Saccharomyces cerevisiae S288C: one gene and its partner. The gene in region 1 interacts genetically with each later gene. Each region holds a gene or a part of one and is shown on either strand. Other genes may lie near its edges.

Region 1 (4,833 bases):
CTTCCAAGATATCAGTATAAGCAAGCTAGATGACTTTTCTACAACAGTAAATTCCATCATAGATTCGTCTCTCAGAAATGAGAATAATGCAAAAGGAAACGCGAAAAAACTTTTGGATGATCTAATAAGTGATGAATGGTCAGCTGATCTTGAGTCGAGTGGAAAGAAGCACAACAAATCACAATACAATTTGAGGGACATCGCAGAGAAATGGGGAGTACAGTCTTTAAAAAATCCAGAGCCTATTGCTGTTGACTGCGAATATAAGACACAAGGAATCGGAAAAACCAATAGTGACATTAGTGATAGTCCGAAATCACAGATAGGAGCAGCTGATATACTGTTCGATTTTCCACTGTCTCCAGTAAAACATGAGAACCCAACTGAAGAAAAGCACAATTCGATTGCTAATGAAAATTCTTCACCAGATAATAGCCTGAAACCAGCAGGAAAACAAAATCATGGTGAAGATGGGACATCCATGGCAAAAAGGGTATACAATAAAGGTGAAGACGAGCAAGAACACCTTCCGAAAGGAAAGAAGAGAACCATAGCGTTATCAAGAACACTAATCAACAGCACCAAACTACCTGATACAGTAGAACTAAATCTTTCTAAATTTCTCGATTCCTCAGATAGTATTACTACTGATGTACTTTCAACCCCTGCAAAGGGGTCTAACATAGTAAGGACAGGTAGTCAACCAATCTTTAGCAACGCTAATTGTTTTCAGGAAGCAAAACGCTCGAAAACATTAACGGCTGAGGATCCCAAATGTACTAAAAATACTGCCAGAGAGGTATCACAACTAGAGAATTATATTGCCTATGGGCAATACTATACTAGAGAAGACTCAAAAAACAAAATACGACACTTGTTAAAAGAAAACAAAAATGCTTTTAAGCGAGTTAACCAGATATATCGAGATAATATAAAAGCACGCTCTCAAATGATTATAGAGTTTTCGCCTAGCCTTCTCCAGTTATTTAAAAAAGGAGACAGTGATCTGCAACAACAATTGGCACCAGCAGTTGTGCAATCAAGCTATAACGATTCTATGCCGCTTTTAAGATTTCTTCGAAAATGTGACAGTATTTACGACTTTAGTAACGATTTCTATTACCCCTGTGATCCCAAAATAGTTGAAGAAAACGTTTTGATTCTATATTATGATGCGCAAGAATTTTTTGAACAATACACTTCACAAAAGAAAGAATTATATAGGAAGATACGATTTTTCTCAAAGAATGGAAAACATGTGATTCTTATACTAAGCGATATAAATAAACTCAAAAGAGCTATTTTCCAATTAGAAAATGAAAAGTACAAAGCTAGGGTAGAACAACGATTGTCAGGAACAGAAGAAGCTTTAAGACCGAGAAGTAAAAAATCAAGCCAAGTTGGAAAATTAGGGATAAAAAAATTTGATTTAGAGCAACGATTGCGCTTCATTGATAGAGAATGGCATGTCAAAATACATACTGTAAATTCACATATGGAGTTTATTAATTCTCTGCCGAACCTAGTGTCATTAATTGGAAAACAGCGCATGGATCCCGCAATTCGGTATATGAAATATGCTCATTTGAATGTAAAATCCGCTCAGGATAGTACAGAAACGCTAAAGAAAACCTTTCATCAGATAGGGAGAATGCCTGAAATGAAGGCGAATAATGTCGTGAGCCTATACCCCAGTTTTCAATCATTACTTGAAGATATTGAAAAGGGAAGACTGCAATCAGACAACGAAGGTAAATACTTGATGACTGAGGCAGTAGAAAAAAGATTGTACAAACTGTTTACTTGTACTGATCCAAATGATACTATTGAATGATGATCGAACGAAACTTTGTATATAAGAACATACCTTAAGGCAGTCGTTTTGAAAATCACTGCAGCTCTATTTCCCCCTCCTTACCTTTTTAATGAATTCCATTTTACAGAAAGTACTATTGATAAATATTCGTAATAAAATAAAACAGTGTTAATAATAAATGTTCGAGATTCCGGTTAAAGATAATATGAAATGGTGAATGTAATATCATTTTATTTCTACGGACGTAATCATAATACATACTTTACGGCTAAATAATCGTCTTCATTAAGTCTGTCCTTTAGAGGCTCGATATGTTTGTAACCTTCGTTCAATTTGTGCAATTCCTGTTCATTAAATTTTATTCCGGAAGATATCAGGTGAGAGAGAAAAGACAGAACTCTATCTATGATGTTCAAGTTACTCTCGTCAGACAAGCACTCAATCGTACTTTCAATTACTCCATCCTTTCTCAGCACACTGATTATATTTTCATCAATCTTAACAGATGACAAATATGCGGTCAATAAGGCAATGGCTCTCATTTTCAGTTTTGGTTTGGCGGTGTTATCACTTAATACAGGTGCTATGCAGTCGAGCCCATTTAATTTGAAAAACTTTTCTGAGATATCTTTGTGGTTTCTTATTAGATTAGATAGTGCGTAAAAAGCTTTTGTTCTCACGTCGAGTGGCTTTGTCTTGTCACTAGCTATTTCGATAAGGCTTCGCAGACCATTGTCGTATTTCATGAAATTATTTTGCGAATCCAAGTTGTTTTGCACAGCCGTTCCAATAATGGATAAAGCAGCAGCACGTAGTTCTTCATCCTTCGTCTGAACAAGAACATCCAACAATGGCTCCCACAGTTTTAAATTTTCGATATTATTAGCATTATCTAAGTTCTCAATCAACATTTCAAAGTTGTCAAATGCAACGAGTTTTGTTTCTAAGTCAACCTCCGGATTCATAATAACAGCCATGGATTCTTTCATTAAGGTTGGATCGTCAGGACCACCACCACCGAATAACTGCTGTAGCAATTTAGGATCAGGTTGGCCGGCCCTAGCCATAGCTTCTTTGTCCCCTTGAGAATTCGCAATAGACCACTGTAATAGCTTTTCCATAGTTATGTATGTGTTTTTTTTTCTATTTTACTCTTTCGTTGAAAGGTAATGGCTTTCTGACTGACGATGAGTGCTCTTTTAGATATAGCCAATCGCTGGTTTATAAGCAAATTTCTGTCAGCGCGAGATGCCTTCCTCTTTTCTAACCTCCAAAAAACTTCCAGAAGATTCCAGTCCAAGAGGTATATCATTTCAAACGAATAAGCTGATTACAACCTTAATAGGGCCCAACTTGACCAACCAGTAGCTGAAAAGCTTACCTACAAAATAGGAAATAGGTTAGTACACTGTCGACAGCAGTGGTATAAGTATATACCCTACCTACACATCATATATATTGAAGTGAGGTTTATTTTCTGTGATCTTGTTTAGCGAATTTTATCACTGTTCTTTTTGATAAACTCGTCCAATTTGTAGACAAAATCCAAACCTACGGCCTTCAATCCATCTATCTGTTTTCTGGATGACTTAATGGACCCTGGGGATAACATTTCATCATTCAGTAATTGCTTGTCTATCAATTTGAAGTGATTATCCACTTCGTCGCTACACCAATCTACTAGGATGGAAGAAATCTTAGCCCCGAGTTCTTTGAAAATATCCTGGAAGTCCTCCACTGTTTTTTTAATGGTTTGGAACCTGATAACAGCCAATTGAGTCAAATAGTTCGTAGGATTGTCCACTGATCCAATCTGTAGAATCAAATCTTGAATGAAATTAGATCTATTCTGTAAGAATAGGTCAAGAGCTTGCTCTGGTAATCCTAACTTAATCATATTTTCAGTACCGCTTTTCAAATGCACTATTTCATTCGATGATAAAATGCTCTGAGAAAGTTTGCTAGAAATGGCCTCTCTTCTTTGTTCGATTTTTAAAGATATCAGGTTAAGTAACATTAACTCTTCATCAGAAATTCTTTCAGAAAGATCCTCCAATTGTGATTCAATATCCAATAATGTTTCCACGGCACTTTCAAACCTAAGCCTAGCTAATTCAATATCTATCTCTTCCACGCCTTCATCCAGGAATTTAAGCCTCTGGGCGGTTGAACTCATATCTCTGGACCTTGGCCTCGAATGCATTGATAGAGTTAGGTTCTGCAAAAGATATTGATCCATTGCGCCTGTTACATTTCGGCCAGGAGTGATTGAACCCCCCATACTACGTCTTTTGTTTTTGTTAGGGCTTCTGTTGTTTTCTCTACCTGGGGTTTGTTGCGTAGATTGCAAATATCTAAAGGACTCTCTAATACGTTTAGAGTTCTCCTCTTCTACATGGAATATGTCGCACAAATCATCCTTAGCCTTTCTTATAACGTCCAACAACCTAGAGCATTCGTCTGCGTCTCTACATTCATACAAACTTGAATTCGAATTGCTAAACTTGAAAAGTAGCCTCTTAGTGGAAAATTCCTCTTGCGTGACAGTGACATCCTTTAAAGGATAGCACTGGCTTACTATAAAGTCATTTTGCTTATCTCTTGATTTATCGGCGATAAGTACCAAATCATTCAAAATGAAAATCTGTACCATCTGCAAGGGTTTACCAGTGGTAGTATTTAATTCCATCCAATTGGCACTATTCATTAAAATATGTCTTCCTTTCGTAGAATTGATAAACTTCTGAGCACCTTCAACGTTCTTAAACAGCTGATCCAGTTCCGTATCCCAAAATTTCTCTAATATCAAGACGCTCGATCTGTCCCTCCTCATGAGATTCCCATTTTGTCCTGCTTTCAAAGGCGGAAGTAACGCTGGACTATTAGAATGACTTTCAACATTGTTAAAATTGCCTTGTCTCTCTTGATCTATTTGATCCTGCAATTGTAACCTTTTTTCAGCTATTTTGGTGCACTGATCCAAAACCTCGTTTAAATCATTTATATTTGCTCTAACC
Region 2 (5,929 bases), on another chromosome or scaffold:
AGTCTTTCAAGAGAAGATGTACCAATATACACTACACTCTTCAGAAGCAATGGGAGCTTTGGTCGAGTGAAAAAAAAATTTTCTCCATAAAGAAAGATCATATTATACGATGATGTAAGATATAATACCCGGTTGTAATGTACATTTAAGAGCAAGGTAAGAAGTGACAATAACTTCTGTATGATCTTAGCATGTACCTCTTTTGGTGGGCTGAGAACTAAGATTCATCTTTTTGCGGAAGAATTTTGCTATGAACTTCACAACTTTATGAAGTGGTTTAAGAGAATTACAAAAGAAATGACACAGACTCGAACACTGTGACGCGTCGTCTTAGTAAAAAATAATAATTTGAGTCAAATAGCGCAGCTAATGCGAAACAAAGAAATGAAGCATATACCATTCGTTGTATGATTTTTGTGTGGTTGACAGATATTCTGCCGAAATTTTAACGCTTATTATAAATATAAATGTATGTATGTGTGTATAAACAGATACGATATTCAATTTTCTACCGTAGGGTTGGGATTTTCTTCAAACTCCAATTCTTCGTCGGGTATTTCCTCAATGGCGATCCTCTTTTTTGGCTTCGGCTTTTCAGTGTCATTGACAATTTTAGGCACCTTAATTTGTAGTAGACCGTTGTTGTAAGTAGCTTTAATTTCTTCGTCCTTAATGCGTGGCAGCACGGGGAATTTAACGGTTCTCTCAAACGCACCATATTTTAGTTCCGTGATCTTCAAGAATTTTTCATCAATGCCCACTCTGTCTTCGATCTTACCCTTGATGAGCATCTCATGAGAAGATGGATGGTAATCAATGTGGAAAGCCCTAGAGTTAGCACCTGGTAACGCAAGAACAACTACGTAAGTGTCCTCGGTATCATAGACATTCACTTCTGGTGAAAATGGTAAGTCCATTCTCGTTTCAGGCTTGGATACTTGTAACGGGTCAGGTATTGGGGAAGGCGCTTGTAGGTGAGCGAACGATGAAGATTTTTTGGCTAATGGTGGTCTCGACGATTCCTCCAGCTGATTCAAAGGTTTTTCTTTGTTGGTTTCGCCAGCTTCCTCTTTGGGTGCTTCAGACTTATCCTTCTTATCCTTTTCTTCTCCCTTTTCGCCCTCCTGTTCGGTATTTGCTTCAATTTCTGGTTCAGTGCCTTCATATGGTGGAACACCTATTAACGCGGTTAATAAGTCGTTTAAACTGTTTGCCTGTTGGTTGGTCCTATTATTCCTGGCAGTATTACAATGGTAATATGATGGATATCTTCTCGAGTTGCTGTCCTCGCCACCATCTTCCTGTCTTGTAGTGCCGCTGTCACCCACCATATCTTCGTCTTGGTCCTCTTCTTCACCATCCTCGTCATCATAACCGTATTCAGGACTATAGTAATAGGCTTGTCCAGGGAACTGGTAGTAATAGGTATTAGGAACACCATTGTATCTGCTATACAATGGATGATGACGAGGATGATGCCCGCCAACGTGCACTTGTCCATAATGGGGATGGTATCTCTGTGGCCTTTGTGGTTGGCGAGGATATCCTTGCTGCCCTCTCTGGCCAGTTTGGTTGGATAATGCGTTCAAAACGTCATAAAGAGATAGGGATGGTTGATAAAAACTCATTGCTTCGGCTTGGTATGATCTTAATTTGTGTGGGATATGGACAATTGCCTGAACGTGTCCCTATGTTATGTATAATTATACTTCTTGACCGTATGTATGAGAATAAAAGATAGTTCCTGCCGGGATCAAAAAAACGATGACAGCAAGTCTTATATAACTAACTTCACAGAGGCCTCCCCCCTGCCGCCAAGGCCGCCCCTGTATTCGCCCCTGAGCAGTTCTCAATTCGCGAACCTTCCAGAACTTTTAAGCGCGTGTTCCAGGCGTTGCCGCCTAGCCACTGTTGGCCTCCGCCAAATTACTCCGGCAACACACCTATATAACTGCTCGAGCGGCTGATAGGGAAAGCTGAATTGAAGTATGTCATATCCTGTTTTAAACAAGTCTCGTTTTATGCTACTCTTCTCGAGAGCCAAGCATTACCATTCCATCTCTTGCTATTTTATTGTTCTTCTTAAAATGTTCACTTTTTCCCTTGCTCACTTGTTACCCAACCCCAGCTAAATATTAAAAATTTGGAAGAGAGTTTGGACAGTACACTACGTATTGAAGTACTCTTCAATTCAGGCGCGGCCTAAATTGTAAGTGATCTGGCAAGATGATATCCAGGAATGAAAATATCAATCGTAGAAACAGTAACCGTCTTGAATAAAAATCAAATATCATCTGCCAAATAGTACCCATATTACTAGTACATCATTATATGTGGCACAAGAAGTTAACGTGAAGAAACAGTTCTTATGTTTTATAAAAGCTGAAGCGCAAGAATCAATAAATTTAACATGAAAGAAAAAAACTTCTAGGACATTCTGTTTCACCTAATATTATAGCCTTTAACAATAACGTAATCCAAAAAAATTATCCGGTTATTCTCCTCTCACTAATCTTGCAATTCAGCTTCGTAAAATACTACTGTTTATATATGTTGGTTGCTATCGGTACTTTAGACTATGTGAATATTGGGAATTTTGAGATTTTTTGCTTTTAGGTGAAGCTAGTGAATTTCTCACAATAGTAGAAAATTCGATTGCAGAGAACCATAAATGGTTCGGTAAACCACTACATTGCAGTTGAGTACGGCAGTCATCTAATAAGGTACGGTTCAGCCGTTCAGCGACTCCATGTGCTCGGGAATTCGCTGTGGTTGTATAGCATGGAGTTATACCATTTTTTTCAAGGAATTTATGGAGAGTTCTGTTAGTATACTCAGAACCACGGTCCATTTGTATAACCAAGACACTGGCCTGAAACTGGTTTTTAATAAAAGCTAGTATCGTAGTAAAAACATCGAGGATAGAGTCCTCGCGACGGTCGTGTAATGGATAAACCCAACGGAATTTTGTTGTCTCATCAGTAAATGAGATGAAATAGGATGGTGCACTCTTTGGTAGGTTGTGAACTGGACCAAATATGTCAGTATGTAGGTATTGAAAGGGTTCGTATGAATTTTGGTATTTTAGTCGTGAACCTTTGATATGTCTGTGTTTGGTGCTTTTGCCGATTAAACAATCAGGACATTGATAGTCAACAGCACTAGACCAGTCGACATCTGATTCGTTAAAATACGTGATGGTGTTATTTTTAAGTGAGTATCGAATTGTCTGTGCATTGGCATGCGCAAGCATTCGATGAATGAAAGGATAAGGATACTTGCGTGTACTTTCATTTGTATGGGCATTATTGATGGTGGGTACGGAGATATTTGAAGGAAGCAAGTACTTTTTAGATACCCAGTAAAAGTCTCCATATTTTACGATAGGCGCAAGTACAGTGCCGTCAGATCGTTCTAAGACGTTTTTGGTAAAGCATGCTGTGATATCTACTGCAGCCAATTCATTCAAACTGAGTAAGTCATAGGCTATGTTAGGAGTGTGCAATACCTTTATTGATGTTTTGGTGTTGTCCTGGAAGTGAAATTGTAGGTCACCAATAGCGTTAATTGGTATATTTCTTTTTTGAGCATCAACTACGTTTATGTCAGGATTAGATGATGCTGAGTGTATGTGATGAGCAGATCTTATAAGGGTTCGTGATGCTCCTGAATCGAGAAGGAGGTGTCCAGGGAGTTCATCATCAGAATGATTAGTGTGATTCACCGTAGATTCAGTAAGTTCCTGGCCTAAGGTGAAGGTCGTGTTTATTCTTCAATTGAATCGGTTCAGTAGTTGATCCTCTTATGAGATCGTTATCAGGGCCGGGAAAGTTATTAGATGTGGATACGTTATGAGCCCTGGCTGTTCTTGATTGTGAATTATTTGGTTTTTGGGAATTCCGAGTTATGGATTTGGGTTTGGTTGTATTCGTATAGGTGCGAGAGTCTTTCTTCTCATCACTCGGACTTCTCCTATAAGTAGATTTATTACGTTTTGATTCCTGTTGTTCTTCATACATAGAATGTATGTCTGAAAACAGATCAGCAACTGTCATATGTATATATCGATGACGTGCGTAGCGTAAAAATTTGTATTCGCCAGATAGACCTCTCATAATGAATTGGCATGCTACCTTGTTATTGATAGGAATGCCATTGTTTTTTAGTCTGTCAAGAATGTTTGTGACTTCTGCTTCAAATGCATCTGCAGGTGTACTTCCATTATAATGCAAATTTGCTAGGGTCGTAATGTCATTTACCTCTTGAGTATCAGACTGCATTTTGTTAATGCTTTTGGAAAGAATTTTCATGATATCTGTATAATCAACAGATAAGATGTCTTTAACCCAGGTGGGTAAGAATTGAGATAGAGCAAATAGTTGAAAGGTGTGACATAAGAAGGTGAGTTCGTCATCAGTCATCTGACGTACGGCTTTTCTTGTTGCTGTCGGAATAATATCACCGAGATTCGAATTTTGTAAAAATTTGATGTATATTTTAACCCAATTTAGAAAGTCATTAGGTGAGGTTAAGATTGGCGGTGGTCTGACATGTTGATTAGTGGATGTCATATTAGACTTTGCTGAGGATGAATCAGGAAATGAATTACCTGACTCAGGTGACGGGGTGTTCAAATGTGTTCCAACATATTGTGGATATTGTGTAAACTGTGATTGTGCTCCAGGTGGAGCGTACATAGGTGACATTTGATAAGGTGGATACGGCATCAAAGATGGGTGCCCGTATACTGGCCAACCAGAAATATTGGCTTGTTGGGGAGTCATCATTCGCTGCTGTGGGTACGGCCCATTTTGTGGCAATGGTACTTGAGCAGCTTGAGGAGAGGCATGATGATGGTTCTCTGGAACAGCAGCTGAGGGAGGTGTTGTTGGCTGTTGAGAATTAGCCTGAGTGAAAACCTTCTCACATTCTTCTGTTTTGGAAGCTGAAATGTCTAACGGATCTTGAGTTGTTTGGACTTCTTTAGAAGTAACCGAAGCACAGGCGCTACCATGAGAAATGGGTGAATGTTGAGATAATTGTTGGGATTCCATTGTTGATAAAGGCTATAATATTAGGTATACAGAATATACTAGAAGTTCTCCTCGAGGGTCAGGAATCCCCATAATGGAATCTATATTTCTATATACCAATATTACGATTATTCCTCATTCTGTTTTATATGTTTCATTATCCTATTACATTATCAATCCTTGCACTTCAGCTTCCTCTAACTTCGATGACAGCTTCTCATAACTTATGTCATCATCTTAACACCGTATATGATAATATATTGATAATATAACTATTAGTTGATAGACGATAGTGGATTTTTATTCCAACACTATGTGTGTATTGTGTGTGCGTGTAATATAATCATTTCTAGTCATCTCTAGTCAAAGTAACTTATAAAAGCCTAAAAAAGGAGGATTTAACATGAATTGTCGGTCCTATAGTGTAGTGGTTATCACTTTCGGTTTTGATCCGGACAACCCCGGTTCGAATCCGGGTAGGACCTCTTTTTATTTTTACTCTAACAAATCAACATTGATATTTTTTGTTGATGTGTTAGAGTGGAGCCAACGATGCTCTTAAGATATACACTTTAGTACTTTTGAAGCTCTTACAGTTTTTTGATGTCGGAGAAGGCTTATACATATTGTTATTTTCCCTCTACAGGAAAGAAGGTGAACGTTTAGTTTTTATCAAGGCGCCGAGTAAATTTTATAATATCGAGGCGAGGGAAAAACAAAGCAACGAGAAAGGAAGCTCAAAGTTGGGATTTACATCATTTCTTTAAAAAGCATCATTGGCTTCTCTCCAATTGTTCAATAAACGCAGACTAATAGAAATTGAAGTCATTTTCCGGAGAAATATAAAATATTTTCTGCAACTAAGCTATACTCGATTTCTTTTAAGTTTCTCCAGA

The links. Genes that interact genetically often act in the same process or in processes that back each other up.
Region 2: mutations in FES1 (region 1) and HSP42 impair growth when combined (synthetic growth defect), as found in Saccharomyces cerevisiae (one study listed by BioGRID).

What each region holds. Positions count from the first base shown.
Region 1 is NC_001134.8:441,757-446,589, forward strand, and holds FES1 (Hsp70 nucleotide exchange factor FES1), read right to left. Parts: upstream 2,938-4,833; coding exon 2,065-2,937; downstream 1-2,064. Other genes in the region: MMS4 (Mms4p), read left to right, coding at 1-1,834; exocyst subunit EXO84, read right to left, coding at 3,306-4,833.
Region 2 is NC_001136.10:802,320-808,248, reverse strand, and holds HSP42 (heat shock protein HSP42), read right to left. Parts: upstream 1,629-5,929; coding exon 501-1,628; downstream 1-500. Other genes in the region: YDR170W-A (gag protein), read right to left, coding at 3,732-5,054.